4 linked regions of the Arabidopsis thaliana genome follow. The protein of the gene in region 4 interacts with the protein of the main gene of each other region in a pairwise test. Each region holds a gene or a part of one and is shown on either strand. Other genes may lie near its edges.

Evidence for each region.
Region 1: the proteins of WRKY33 (region 4) and AT3G60090 interact in a two-hybrid assay, tested with the Arabidopsis thaliana proteins (one study listed by BioGRID).
Region 2: the proteins of WRKY33 (region 4) and AT1G80450 interact in a two-hybrid assay, tested with the Arabidopsis thaliana proteins (one study listed by BioGRID).
Region 3: the proteins of WRKY33 (region 4) and AT3G58000 interact in a two-hybrid assay, tested with the Arabidopsis thaliana proteins (one study listed by BioGRID).

What each region holds. Positions count from the first base shown.
Region 1 is NC_003074.8:22,188,780-22,192,293, reverse strand, and holds AT3G60090 (VQ motif-containing protein), read right to left. Parts: upstream 1,513-3,514; 5' UTR 1,437-1,512; coding exon 963-1,436; 3' UTR 546-962; downstream 1-545.
Region 2 is NC_003070.9:30,242,879-30,246,605, forward strand, and holds AT1G80450 (VQ motif-containing protein), read right to left. Parts: upstream 2,072-3,727; 5' UTR 1,811-2,071; coding exon 1,277-1,810; 3' UTR 552-1,276; downstream 1-551. UniProt on the Arabidopsis thaliana protein: May modulate WRKY transcription factor activities.
Region 3 is NC_003074.8:21,473,070-21,476,283, reverse strand, and holds AT3G58000 (VQ motif-containing protein), read right to left. Parts: upstream 1,415-3,214; 5' UTR 1,335-1,414; coding exon 807-1,334; 3' UTR 534-806; downstream 1-533. Other genes in the region: PGL34 (plastoglobulin 34kD), read left to right, coding at 1-10, 96-148, 231-335. UniProt on the Arabidopsis thaliana protein: May function as negative regulator of plant defense.
Region 4 is NC_003071.7:16,106,419-16,111,332, reverse strand, and holds WRKY33 (WRKY DNA-binding protein 33), read right to left. Parts: upstream 3,099-4,914; 5' UTR 2,858-3,098; coding exon 2,615-2,857; exon of another isoform or gene 2,366-2,614; coding exon 2,159-2,365; intron 2,090-2,158; coding exon 1,557-2,089; intron 1,467-1,556; coding exon 1,305-1,466; intron 1,209-1,304; coding exon 794-1,208; 3' UTR 567-793; downstream 1-566. Other genes in the region: AT2G38480 (Uncharacterized protein family (UPF0497)), read left to right, coding at 1-100, 182-373; AT2G38465 (uncharacterized protein), read left to right, coding at 4,523-4,651, 4,815-4,914.

The sequences.
Region 1 (3,514 bases), on a different chromosome or scaffold from region 4:
AGTTATCAGAAATTTTTATATTCTTTTGAAATACTATTTAATGATGTAACACAACTATTAACAATGATGGATATAGCTATAGCTAGTTAATATTAAAACATTGGATATCATATTATATGACACTATTGATCGTTATGTCATCCAAAAAATAAACTGATATTTCAATGAATGAGATTGGAAAAATATGACATATATCCATTACAACTCATTATAATCATATTACCATATCATTTTAATGTTTATGAAATGTGAGTCCACCTTTCATAATCTAACGTTTTGAGAAGTTAAAATGTAATTTAGCCATAAAGTTTTGAAGGTATATATCAAGAACATCGCCAATAAAACAGAACTTTATTCATTTATATATTCAAATCGAAACTCTTTTAGAGTCATGTAAGAATCATTTATCATTATAGTATTTCGTTAATTCAGTTTAATGGAATTCATTTTTGTTTTATCAAACAATTTGTTGTAAGTAACATGACTTATATATGAATTAACAAACAAAATAATTTGACGAAAAAAAATGAACAATCTAAAAAATTCAATCACAATATCATTCTCGCTTTTCTATATATAAAACTTGCACACGCACGCGTGAGTACAACGTTACACCATTTTTAAGTAGAGTTTTCACATGATCGGAGATCAAAACACAAACTTACTTTTTCTTGGCAAAATCAGTCTACAAACTCATCACTACACTCTTTCTTGGTAAATTAAGTCAGTCTAACAAATTAAATCAAAGGGCACCCAAGCCCAAAAAATCCAAACATTTGTACATATATACAAGTTATGTATGTTCCTACCTATATAGATGATCATCGTCTCAACCTTGGTCTTGTCTTGACCCATGTCTTGTTATGCTCCATATCGAATAAATGATCAAATCATCATCAAAACCAACAGGACTTACGATTAGTAGAAACCCTACATATTAGGGTAAGGTGTGACCAAACTAATTATTGTTGTTGAAGATCAAACCATCGACTTGAGAATATGTTGTCGTCTTCATCAAGATCGATCAAACCGTCAAAATCAAAGTAAGTATTTGTGTTTGAACTTGATCCCCATTCTTCCTTCACCACGTGGCTCCCTATTATTCTGTTGTCCAGTTCAGCCGTATGTTCTTGGCCGGAATCTTGAGGCAAACCCGGTGGCGCAGGAAAATTTGTGTTGGTTATCTTTTTCTTAGAACCGGTTTTGGTGATCTCCGGTTTCCCGGTTAGACTTTGGACGAGTGTGCGGAAGTTCTTGACATCGGTGTTGATGATCTCGGGAGCAAATATATGGATGATACGGATCTTAGGCTTGATCTTGGTTATTATTTGGGAGTTCTTGTTCATGGGAACCAAAGTTTTTGAATAATCACCATAAAAGGTTTGATGAGGAAGATGATCTATATCGTACTCAGCCTTCATAGAATTTCTCACCATATAAACGTAAAAAGAAGATGAAGAAGCGAAGATTTTGGGTTTTTCTTTTTTGGATTTCAGGTTTCTTGTATTGTTTTGGGAAATGATATGCATATGTTGTGGATTATATGTCTCTATATATATACACAAAAAAAACAAAATGTGAATATACAGTTTTATTGTTGGTTTGTAAAAAAACATTAATAAAATACTATTTCTTAAAGACAAACAAAATGAAAATAGTTAAAAATATAAGACGAAATAGCTATGGACCTGCCTTCCATTACACACTTTTCAACAACTTGAGTTAAATAAATTGTAATTTAAACAAAAAGAATGATCTGTTTCTTTTACGCTATCGGAATAAAATGGTTTTTAATTTTCCAACTGATGATATATCATATAATCAATTAGCTATATAATTAAGTAAAAACATACATATGAGTAGATGGCGTGAGCGATGTTTTATTTAATATATGTGGTTGACTATATAATATAGGTCGTCGACTTAACCTTTGGAGGTGAATTTGACTTTGTTTTATTTACGAATTTGTTAAAATGTCCTTTACCAAAATAATAATAATAATAATTTGTTACATGGCTTATGGAGATAGGGTTTCTTGGAGTTGTACATATATTTTAAAACAATCTTTCACTACATATGTGAAATTCGTCTTAGTAATTTTCACGGAGCATATGTGAAATGTAATTATTTATTGTCTATGGTAAACATCGTTAATAGTAAAAAAATTACATTTGTTTCGGAATTAAGAGATTAGATAAACCGACAAAAAGAAAAACAAATTCCGTGTGCCCTATACTAATAACTTAATAAACACGACAGATACTCGTCGGACGTGATATGTGACTCATCTGTACACGTGCAAAGCTTTTTGTTTTGATGTTTTGATTCCTTGGATCAAAAATCCAAAATTGTTTGACCCAAAAAAAAAGATTAATTAATTATCCAAAAAAAAAGCGGCCACTAATCATATGGAGAGGTCACTAGGTCAGACAATTTCGTTTATCCAAACTAGTAAAATAAGTATAATTAGTTACATCAATCGATTTTTTTTTGTTCACTACTTGAATGTTGCATCAACTGATTTAAAGGTCAAAGTTATCTATTTAATTTAAATAGATCATAGTTTGACATTAGCGTGTTTCGGTTATATAAAATTTCAAGAATTTGACATTTGTAGTTAACAATAGCTGTATGATATTTTTGTAAGAACAAATCGTATTGTTTTGGTCATTATTTAATGTTGATACGCGGGATTGTTGACTTACTCTCCTTAAAACTAGTGAAACAAATCTCCCTATACTAACTACCATGTGTTGAATTATACAACCGTTGATCCAACTTTCTTTGGATGCTTTGAGTTTCTACTCGATCAATTTGTTTTTCACATCATGATAAACTAACTTGTTTTACGTCAAATCCTTTATTTTCAGTTTGTTGTTGTCTAACAGGGAGATGTTTTTCGTATTATTTATCTAATGTAACTATTAATTGTTGCTAACCAAAATATCATTTGATCCTAAACCTAAACTAAAAGGGCAGAAAATTGCTTAGAATCACTAGTGTCTCAATCATTGCATAATTCATACAATTAGATGTTTTAGAGTGCATTGGTAGAAGGATTTCACCAAAACCACTGGCTCCTACCATCCTATTTTTTAGGTGATGGTGTTTTGATTCAAGCAGGTCTGGTTAGAAGACATCATCAAGGGTGAAGAGTTTTGTTAATGACAACTATATAGTAGAGCTATTATTATTATTAATTTGTAGTACTAGTTTAAAACCACAATTAGTCGAACAATTGGGATTCTTTTGTAAGAAGCAAAATCAAATCATCAAAACTGAAAATCAAAAGACAGATACATGCGAAAAGGTCCAAAAACAAAAATTGGTTAAAAATCAAGTTTTAATCATCTTATAGCCCAAGATTCTCAGCCCAATTTTGTCTTTGTTGGTGGGCCTTGTATTCACTTTTATTTTTATTAGAGTCAACCAGATCAACAGACTACAGTCACCACTCACCGTATCAGAAAGTCGAGAAATGAAAAACGTAGAACAAATCATTACACTTACGTTT
Region 2 (3,727 bases), on a different chromosome or scaffold from region 4:
GGGTAGTCTCGTGTGTCAATCTACAAATCTTTTCATGAACAACAAAATAAAGAAATATTGTATTTATTCAGTGTCACTTTACCAAATATTTATGTTCTCTATACAAAACTTCAAAAGGAAGATTTGAACTTTTAGGTTCTCTATACAAAACTGATCTAATTATATAATTGCAAGCAAACAAACTTTCGAAACATGTGTCGACACAAAACTTTTAAAGTTTATTAAAGGAGCCTTGATTTTGGTATCCAAGAACTTTAATGGGTTTCATAGACTAGTCCTATTAATTTTTTTACTCGAGGCCCAAATAGACCAGATTTTGAATGATGAACTTTTGATCTTTAAATGGGCTTTTGGATGGGACTTGAGACAAATGGATGGCTAGGATTAGAGCAGAGGTTTGAAATATGGATTACACCTGAGGGGCAGAGTTCGAAGATAGACTGACAACAGACTTTAAAGAGAGATGCAGAGACACCCTCTGTTACAAGTAACATCTATTTAATATCGATACAAAAGAAAAGTGCATTATATTTTCAGCAGGAGAATTAAATCGTAGCCGTTGAATCTGCAGAGGAAATAGGCGCCGCTTCGTTCTGCGTCACAGCTTTGTCATTAAATCCAACGGCTGGCAGCTTTATGACACACACAAACAATTGAATTGGAGCAGTGTTAAACTGTACAGAGAATTTAGCTTCTTTAGTTTCTTTCTTAACCAAAAAGTCAACACATTTTTGTATCTATTATAAGTCGGCCTATTTAGCCTATCTTTTCATTCATCTCCATACACACATCATCAACTTTATTGTAAGGAAAAATTTAAGATACGAAGACGATTACGCTAGCTTGATCGTTGTAGACTTGTCAAAAAGTACTACTTTCCAAAAGAAAATTGAGCATTGTGGTTATATTATCTTTTTTCAAGAAATTTAGAAACTAGATAGCTTGTGTTTTGGATCCCACGTATTAATGGTTAGATAAAAGATCTAAAAAGACATTGATTTATATGCTCGTGAAATGATGTCTTCCTTGACTAATGTAAGTAATTGCCGCGTATAGAATAAGATTTTTTTGTATTCCAAAAGGAAGTGGAGTACACGCGCCGAAATAGTTGACCCTTGAAGAAAAAGTTTAATGAAGGATGAAAAAAGTCTAGGTTAAATGGAAAACGGATATTAACTAGCCCTAACAAAAATAGTAAAAAGCAACAGCAAATATCACGTGTCCCCAACTTACGATTAAATAGCCTAAAACTCAAATTATACGTTCTAAATTAAGACTAAGAGTCTCGATGATTATCTTCATGAATCCGGTGATTAGTGCCGTTAGGAGAACGAAGAGGAAACAGGGGCAAAAGCTCCGGTGCCGGCTCGGAGCCGCTTCTCGGACTCGGAAGGAAGTAGAACCCTTTTTCCGCTATGGCTTTTTGCTCTTCCTTGTCCGGTTGCGCGTGGTGTTCCTCACGCGCTGAATGTGGACTCACGCGCGCCCAGAATGGGTCTAGGTGAGAGACGGGAGAGACGAGGAATCCTCGGTGGAAATGGCTGAAAGCGTCGTTAGGGTTTGTGATGTTGTTGACCTTAAGCTCCATTTTCTTTGATGATTGACGCCGTTCGTGGAGTTTGAACGCTGGCTTTTTGGGAGTTAATGGAAGCTTCTGGTGTGCGGCTGAGACGGCGGAGAAGGATGAGGAGGAGATATCGGGTGGTGCTCCAGTGAGCTTTTGGACGATGTTACGGAAATTAGAGGGGTCTGCTTGAACGAACATGGTGTTTGGCTCGGTGGCATAGCTCGGCGGCTGCTGGTGACTCATGGTGGTTGAGATGACTAAAGAGAAGAAGAGAAGAGAGAAGAGAAGCTTGTTTTTGTTTTTGTCTAAAAGACATTCGTCTGCCTACTGCACATATATTTAAAGAAGACCCTATTGTGTGTTTGTGTGTTTTTATTGACATTTTTTGCCAACATATTAAATTTAGTAATTAACCAAAGTGGCTATTATTGTTTGACTTTGCACGTCTAGAATCTTTAGTTGATAAGTTGACTAAAAAATAAATTATATGTTTAGTTGCTAATAATTCACTAATATTTGTGATTTGAATACGGATTAAAACTGTTTCTAGATGATTATAATGTCAAAGTCAACGCCCAAGCTAACCATACATTATTAGAAGTGTTGCCAATTCAATACCTGGGAACATCATATATAGATAATTCGTGATAATGAAACATTTAGTCGGTTCATTGTTGACTCCGCAAGCAACTTAATTGATATTTTCAAAGCATTCCACTAGTCTATAATATCCCACTATATATTTTTCTGTACACAAACGTTATATACTTTAGACGTGGTTGACGAATTGATATGTGATACAAAAGAAAACCTAATGTTATAACCTTTGTAGGCAACTGCGTAATGATTGATCCCTGGCCGTGATCATATGATAGTATGTAATAAGCGTAATTACCACACGTCCATGATTTTATGAATTTTCGAATTTTGAATTTCCCAAAGAAATAAATGCTGTGACGAGAAGGGCATCAGAACTTTCCCCTACAAAATTTATGGAGGTTCAAATTTTGAAAAGTAAAAAATTAAATGACTTCAAATCCGTACATTGTTGAGTAATTATAATAATATAAGCGATAAAGTTTTTGGTGTTGTTTGTTAGAGATTGTGATTACTTTTAAAAAAGTACTTCTTCTTACGTTACATTTTATATTGTTAATATGAGAGAATACATCATGCATCCGATTTAATTAGTGGAGGACAAAGATAAATAGAAATGTTCAACATATAAAACAATCTGAAAAAGAAAAGAGAACAAAATTAATAGGCTTTTAGTTTTAGGTTGCGTGAAGGAAGTAGGCAAAAAGCGAAGATTTTTTCCCTCCTTTTTCTTCACACTTCACGTTTTTTCTTTGTTCCTTAGCTTTGCTTCCATTTGACTCTATGAACTTTTTTTCTTGTGTTTCCATTGAAACCTTCTTTATTAGTATTCCTTTTAGGCTTGAGTAAAATACAGAACAACTCTTTCTTCATTTCCATTTGTCCACTTTTCTTCTTAGATTCTCGCTGTTTCAGTGGGAACTGATAGAAAAAATTGCTATGAAATTTCTGATGAAAAAAGTATCCAACTAACACCCTTACTAGGAAGTTATCTAATTTTAAATTCTGAAAACTTAAAAATCATAAGAAAAAAAGTCACTTTGAATCAAATGTTGAGCCTGGTCAACCAAACTAAGACAATGTTGATTGATCCTGTTGACTCGAAGAAAAGGAAAATCAACAACGTAAGAGTCAAATTTTATGGTCAAGGGAAGTTTCATTAAGAGCCCATCTGCTTTAAACGAATTAAGGCCCAGAGAGGCCCAGTTTTGGAGGTGAAGAAAAACGAGGGAACATGATTCTTTTTTAATTTTGAAGCACAAATCGGACGGAATTGGAGATTCTTTTGAATAAGAGTTTCGTTCGAGCTTAGAGATGGAGAAGAGCGCTTGGTCTCAGTGTAGAGAAATCGAGAATTCAAAGTGTGGTTTCATGAAGAAAAACCCTAATTCTGTCCGAGATAGAGAGGTGGTTTCAGCCTTGTTGATGCTTGCATCCGCTTAGTGAGAAGTGCTTTGTCCTAAAGAAGCTGAAAGCAAATGAAATTTGTAAAAGCTATCATCACAGTTCCACCGAGAAAAGACTGACTTTGTTTATTCTGTTAAATGATTTTCGATTGTTTGT
Region 3 (3,214 bases), on a different chromosome or scaffold from region 4:
ATCCCCCTTGGTAAAGCCATAACCATCATTTTAACATTTTCCACTCCTCACATGTAACATTGTAACCAAGTAGTGTTGTTGTTATTGACTTTCAGGTGGAACTTACCAAAGATTCTTCATGATATCTTATCTAGACGACGAGATTCTTGTAAGTTCCTGAAATGTTATGATGATACAAGTTGGAGCTTACAGAAAATTATAAAACGAGTCTTTTGGTTGTTGTTATGTAGATTGTAAGAGATACCGCAGGAGTGCCTGAAGTTCTAACGAGGGTGGAAACATCGTCTCCGATGTCTTCATCGAGTGTTGTAGAGAATCTTGAATACAACAGTTAAAAACAGGTTCTCTTGTTACTCTGATTCTCTCTGTAAATGTAAGAACAAAAAGTGTATACAACTTACCGACCTCACTATAGTATATCTCCGGACACACTGAGACCTCTTTTCTTAAATCTACTTCGTCTTTTGTCTCATTCGATTGCCAAAATTTGCCTCTGTTGATTTTATTAGTGAATGTTTTCACTCTGATATATATGAAACATTTAACATTGTAAATGCTTAGAGGACGTCCAAGAAAGCAAAAGCTAGACACAACATTTATCAGTGTACATTACATTTTGAAGACAATGGACAAATCATAAAGACCTTAAGGGAGAAATAAAAGGAGTCTCAGCTAATTTCATTAAATCAATTAGCCTCATACTAAACAAACAAAAAAAAAAGTAATAAATTAAAAATTCATTTCCACAAAAACCTAGTAAACAAAATAAAAGATGAAAAAGGTTACACATCCTTTGAGAGACCGAGTTAAGCGAATTGATCTGAGAAAACTGATCCACCATGTAAATGAGAGGAAGAAGAGGAGTTAGAAGAAGCAGAAGCATCAATGGAGGACAAGGGCAAATAAGGAAATTCACCAAGTTCTTGAATAAACCCTTCGAAATCTCCCAAACCATTCAAGAACCCTCCAGAGCTTTCACCAGCGCCATTATTACCGTTCCAAGTCATCGAGAGCTCTTCTGCGTTTAAGCAGAACTCTTGATCACAATGCTCGGGTTCTCTTAGTTTCTCCGTGTTGATCATGTCTTGGACTTGACGATGAAGACGATGCATATCTCTTCTAGGTTTTGCCTTGGAAGTTCTCTGGTCGTCTGGTTTGCCGGTGAGGCTTTGGACGAGCTCACGGAAGTTGGCAACGTCGGTCTTGATGATCTCCGGAGCAAATATGTGAATTATACGGATCTTTGGCTTTGATTTGGTTATCGAGTATGACTGTTTGTGCACCGCTATGCTTGATAACGAGCTTCTTCTTTTCTCGAAGATCGTGGCTTCCATTTTTAGAATAAGTAGGGTTTTGTTTAGCAATATATAGAGAGAGAGAGAAAAGAGAAAGGGCTAGAGAGAGTTGGTGAATTTGATTGTAAGTGAAGATATTTGAAGGTTATATAGAAGGAGAGGAAATGATAAGTATGAAAGAACAAAATAATTTAAACTTTTTCTGTTCAACTTAATTATATCCTTTTAAATAGTGCTATGGGGAGTACTTAATATATATGAACTAGATATAGGCAAATAATTTAATGGTCACTTTGTTTATCTATTTGATAATTGTACTCAAAACACGATCCAAAATTATAAATTTATAGCCATCATGTAATTAATAGTAAGAAAACTATATTTTAAACAAATGGATCTCTGGTCTTGTTGATATATACATTTATTGGAGAAACTAACTAGTTGGACTAAATTAATTTTTCATTTTTTAAACTAGTTGGAATAAACTAATTACATGTAACTATTGTATTATGAGAAAGATGTGTTAGTATGCTAGCTTCTTAAGACATGGAATAGAGGAACAAGAAGCACACTGGTCCCCTCCTCCCACAAACCAAATTAATATTCATGTTGTATTTTCTTTAATATTTAACGTAATATTGGAATTTTTCTGTTCTGAGCCTATATTAATATATATGCGTTCTTGTGTATAGATAAATGCAAGTGGCATAGATAAGTAGGATTTCACAAACTTGGCACCATGACACACAAACTCAACAAACTTATATGATTGGTCTTATATATTTGCAACAAAACAATATTCGTTTATATTATAACGTTTAGTTGATAATAGAGGTCAATTTTTGCATATCATTGTCTGCACTTCTAATTTACATCAGATTCATGTTTGGTGTAATTGTATCAGCCAAAAACATATACTCATACATGCAGAATACTGTCATTGTGAATTTGTTACACATGTATATCTTAATTATTCACTGAGTTTGCATTAAGGAAGCAATCAACTAAAGTTTTTTTTGGATAAAAGTAACTAAAGGAACAAAAGAAACAAGTTAATCAGCAAATAGAGATAATATAAAGGAAAAGTAGAATGTGAAGACATGGAGATGGCATGACTCTGCGGTGACTCTCACTTAGCTTTTTTACCTTTAGTCGTCTGATCACGTCCTCTATCTCTTAATGCACGAGGCAGTTTCACTTCCTGACGTCTATTCTTCACCCTTTTTTTTTTCTCTCTTTATCAAAATACCAACACAGAAAAATATTTAATAATTAACACTTTCTTTTTTTGATCATCCAACACATATATACATTATCTAAACATTAATAATTAAATTCTATATACAGCAAGCTCCTCATAAATATTAGTGATCAACCACGAATAAGAAAAAAAATATACCAAAATGCATAGCTACACATATAGTATAGTATAGTATTATTAATATCTCTATGACAACTTTGCAAGAAAAATAAGTTAATAAAGCCAACTAGTATCCTAGCTATAGATATCTATGCTAACTACTTAAAATACGTGAACAAACAAAACCTTAATTAGAGAACATATACGTGTGTCGAACCTCCTTGTTAAAAATAGTACTAAACCTTAAATAAACCACTAGTTTTTTGTTGCACAATCTAACTTTGCCTCAGAACATTTTTGCCAACTCTATATGTTGCTGAGATCCACACGGAAATAGACACAATGGTGAATCATTTTAATCATGCACTACAAGATATGATACAATAGATAATGGCCGTCGGATCAAGAGTAGAGATATGAAAGAGATCTAACGGCTGTAACAGAAAAGGGAGACAGATGGAGAGAGAGAGAGTGAGCTTGAAACTCAACGGAAAGGATTTGGTTTTGTAGTCTGAGAGCTTTTTGTACAAATGAGTGCGTCAGAGACTCAGAGTCGAAC
Region 4 (4,914 bases):
TTCAACATTATACACTGCGTGGCAAACATTTGCACATTTCTCAAAAAGGGAAATTTTCGATCGCCGGACTTCTATTTTGGTCGATTTCTCCGGCGACCAGGTAATGCCACAAACTGATTATCAATTCTCAGATTTATATATGTAAAGTTATGATTTTTATGCAAAAAAGTGAAATTTGCAGATTGTGGCGTATTTGCTTATATCAGCTGCATCATCTGCAATTCCATTGACAAACATATTCAGAGAAGGTCAAGATAACATTTTCACTGATTCTGCTGCTTCTGCTATAAGTATGGCTATCTTCGCATTCATTGCTTTAGCTCTCTCTGCTCTCTTCTCCGGTTACAAACTCTCCACTCATTCTTTTATCTGAAGATCTCTTTGCAATAATGTGCTTCAGTAGTTATATACCATTGTGATCTTTGTTATACATGTAAATGTCAATTCTTTTATGTGTTCTTATAGCTGATATCAACTTCTGTTATTTGGGTCTGTCAGACTGTCACTGTGTCTCCCTGTGTCACTGTGTGTGTGTGTGTGTGCTTCTTTGATTCATTATTCAAAGTGAAGAAACTGAAAATTGATTGGTTTTATTCCGTGTTCTAGTTCTATGGTACAAAGTACAAACATTAAACATATTACAGGCGTGTGAAAAAACAAATGAAAAAATTTCTCTATGGACTATAGAAGTCTGACTTACTATCCTGCAGGATAACTAGTAAGTAGTAAAATCCTTTGGTGGCAGAAATGTACAAAAGGAACATAAAAAAGGAACAACTGGTTCCTTTTTTCTTCAGGGCATAAACGAATCGAAAAATGAGGTCTCCTCGTTTGGTTCTTCCTTTGCTCTAGAGAATCCACCACCAACAAAGTTTTGTTGCGTTTGAAGGTTGCTGTTGTTGTTATTGTTGTTCATGGCGTAACCAAAAGGCCCGGTATTAGTGTTGTTGTTGTGCAGCATCTGAAGTGTATATGGTGCTTGAGAAGAAGTAGTGTAGTTGGAGTGACCAGCAATAGCAGCTGGTCTAATCGGGACTGAAGACGAATCCTGTGGTGCTCTGTTTGTGGCGTAACCGCTACCACGAGCTGCAGGAACATCGTGGTTGTGTTTCCCTTCGTAGGTTGTGATTACTGCTCTCATGTCGTGTGATGCTCTCTCCACATGTTTCCTCACTGGACAACCGATGGTTGTGCACTTGTAGTAGCTTCTGTTAAGATTCAGCAAATGAAAAGAAAACAAAAGGTCAGATTCTCAAGAACCTTAATTCTGAGTTATTGAGATGCACAATTGTTTATGTTATTACCTTGGATTTGGGTTTCCCTTAACGACTTTCTGGCCGTATTTTCTCCATCTGTAACCGTCGTCAAGAATGTCAATATCACTCGTTGTCTGCACTACGATTCTCGGCTCTCTCACTGTCTTGCTTCCACCACCATTCCCACCATTTGTTTCATTGTCCCCTTTCCTGAAAACACAAAAAAACATACATTTTAGAACTTTCATATTCAAGATTGTTCAAAGAGTAGCAAATTTGGAGGGTGATGATGATCTGTACCATCTCTTTGCTTCAGGTTCACTCCCACAATCTTCTTCGTCTCTGCTGACAATCGATGAGCCTTGTTCGAACTCATCGTCACCAACAGAATCAGAAGTAGTATTATCCTCTTGTTGCATCCCAAAGGAATCAGACTGATGAAAGCTATTATTGGAATTAGGCTGATCAGAAGAAGCTTGACGATTATGATCCAAACTGGCATTGTACACAGCTGAATGAAAAGTCGAAGAAGACGAAGAAGATCTTCTAGTAGACTGAGGTTTAGGATGGTTGTGGCTTCCTTTATACACAATCTCTGTGATCTGACCTTCCAAAGATCTCTCCACTTTCTTCTTCGTTGGACAATTAGGGAAAGTACACTTATAGTAACTCCGAGGATTCTCACTTCCTTTCACCTGTTTTTGTCCGTACTTTCTCCAATTGTAACCATCCTCTCCTTTCCTTTGCTCTCTTCCATTGTAAGATACAGCTTGATTGTTTGGACGAGTCTCGGTTTGGCTCCATTGTTCTGACTGGTTCTTCTTCTGTTGTTCCTGAAACTCAAAACAAAGTTATAGAAAAACTCATAAACAGAGGATTTGAGCTGTTGATGAAGTACATACCTGAGATTGAAAGATAGAACTGTTTGTTGTTGTTGTAGTTGTAGTTGTAGTTGTAGTTGTGGTCGGAGCAGAAACTCCTGATGATTGTGTGTGGAATGAGAAATCGAATAAGTTAAAGTTGTTGTTGTTGCTCTTGTCTCCTTCATTTATACCTTTCTGGTTAGTTACGTTTGTGATTAAAGCTCCTGTGGTTGGAGAAGCTAGAACCTGCAAAACAATCCCAAGAATTGTTCAGACTTCAAGAAAAGAGACAAATAGCAATAACATAATTAAGAAAGAGTCGAGAGTTGACTCTAAAAGTCTTTCTCTCTCTTTGAAACCGTTGACCCATAACTTTATCACTTCCGATCACGATTCATTGTCAAGATGTTAAATCAATGATACATCAAACACAGATTATCATCACTAATTGGATTCATTTCAAAAGAAACAGAGAAAAAAAACAGAGAGGCTTACGTTAGCAGAGGAGGAGACAAAAGCAGGGGAATCGAGAAAAAGAGAGGGACTGAAACAAGTGGAAGGAGAGACAAGAGAAGGAGAGATAGAGATTGAAGAAGGAGCAAAAGATCTGAACTTTGGTATCTCAAGATCTTCCAAAGAGGAAGTAGATGTTCTTCCGGATTGTTGTGACCAATTAGCAGAACCATTCATGTTTTGTCTGGTTCTGCTATTGTCCATTGTAAGAAAAGAAGCAGCCATACGAAAAATGGAAGTTTGTTTTATAAAAGACCAATTTCAGATATATATAGAAAGGAGGGGGGCTTGGAGAAGAAGAAAATGAGAGAAGTGATGGTTCTTGTTCTTCTTCTTGTTTCTGTATATTTGTTGGTTATGTCTGAATATATAAAACATATTGCACGTCTGATTGGTGAATATTATATTATTTTAAAATTTTGTTTAATTGTTCGTTTTTATTTTTAGGGTCACATATGAAGAAGAGTAGTTTCTGAGAAGGTGATAAAAAGTTTGACCGTTGAAAATATGATTAGAAGAAGAAGGAGAAGAGATAGATTGGTCAGACCTTGTGGCCTTGACTCTCAAACGTTGAACGGATTTTTTGAGGGGCGGCTCAATGCTTTCATCATCTTCATATGTCTCGTTCTGACACGTATGATTTATTCTTTATACGATGTTGTAGTATTTTTGGATCAAAAATACAAATTCAAACATTTGGGATTCTTGGCTCTTGCTCAAAAAACCTAGAAAATTTCGGAATCTTGAAAATTTTGACTGTAGGTGTACTAGGAAAGGTTCTCTCATATCTTTAAAGCACATGACATGAGTGTAAAAGATTAGTATTTAGAAGTGAGTTTGTGAGTATTTTACTATTTTTAGCAAAACCTCCTAACTAAAGTCGATATTAAATCCATGTGCGGCTGTTTTTGGTTTCAATCTATTTTTTAGGAGACTTAATTCTACTATGAATAGACTAATTGAACACAAGATTATTCATTTAAAGAATACTAGAAACAAATATTTATTAGAATGTTAAATTCTATGATTATCAAACTATTTTGTATCCGTATCGGTTTTGATATAGAGATAGGCTACAAATTGACCCTAGATAACATTTTGTAGCTTCCGATCAATAAATTGGTATAACTTCTGTCGAAGGTAGGCCTTTTTTTTTTGTATATATGTATTTGAAGTAGCCATAAATGTAATAAGAGAATTACATATTGTGTATATATGTATTTGAAGTAGCCATAAATGTTCTTATTGAGATGTCAGGATGTTTGTCTTCCATCACTGCTACCACGTCTGGCCCTCTTCTTTGGTAGTCGTCTCTGTTTTGTACATAAAACCTTACTCAGTTTGTTGTTTCCTTAACTAGTCTTGTAATATTTGTTATTTGCTTTTTTTATCTAGACGTCCTTGTTTTATATAAACAGTCTATGTACGTTGTATTGTACAATGTTTAATATCAATAACAACACCCTTTGGCAAAAAAAAAAAAATTACATATCGTGTCAAGCATAGTAGTGTAAATTGTAAATCGTTTAGGTATATAAAAGTGATCAGTTTCTTATTGCACGATATGTGGTATGGTTCTTCACGTGGAACCTAAATTAAACGTCATGGATTTTGTGTCGCTTTACCGTGCAAGTTGCAAACTATGCAGTGTTTGTTGATCCGATGACAGTTTCTTTCTTCAGCCCAAAAGCCCAAAAGGCCCAAAGTAAAATAGCCTCTTGCTTTAATACACGTCGGTATCTCTACAGCTAACACGTAAAACAGACGTGGCAAGAGTTGCTTCCAGAATCATTAATAGTTAAAAAAAATCATCATTGGCACAAGAAAGTGAGATATTTCCTAGTCTTGCTTTCAAGTTTCAAGCAATCTATCTATCTCGAAAAAGCAGCGATGCAAGACGCCGAGACATCACGACAGCCGGCGAAGTCTTTGTCCGATCGAGTGAAGACTAACTGTTTATCCATGGCAGTAACATGCCAGGAAGGGTTTAGCTATGTCAAAGCCTTTTTTGTTGGCCAGGTGCGTATACAAGAGTCTTGTTTCGAGCCACTGAAACAAGCGGATCAGAGACTCATGGGTCTTCTTGAATCAATGATCACTTGACGTATTTGGTGTCTCGTTAATTTCCTTATTGATTAGTTTCATTTTGTTATAATCTTTTATTTTTATTTTGGTTTGGAAGACAAAGAGATTGACGGCAAAGAACGAGAAGGAAGCTACGGAGGCTCATCTAACGGAGACAAAAATGCAAGTTGACGCAACCGATGAAGCAGAGAATGCCA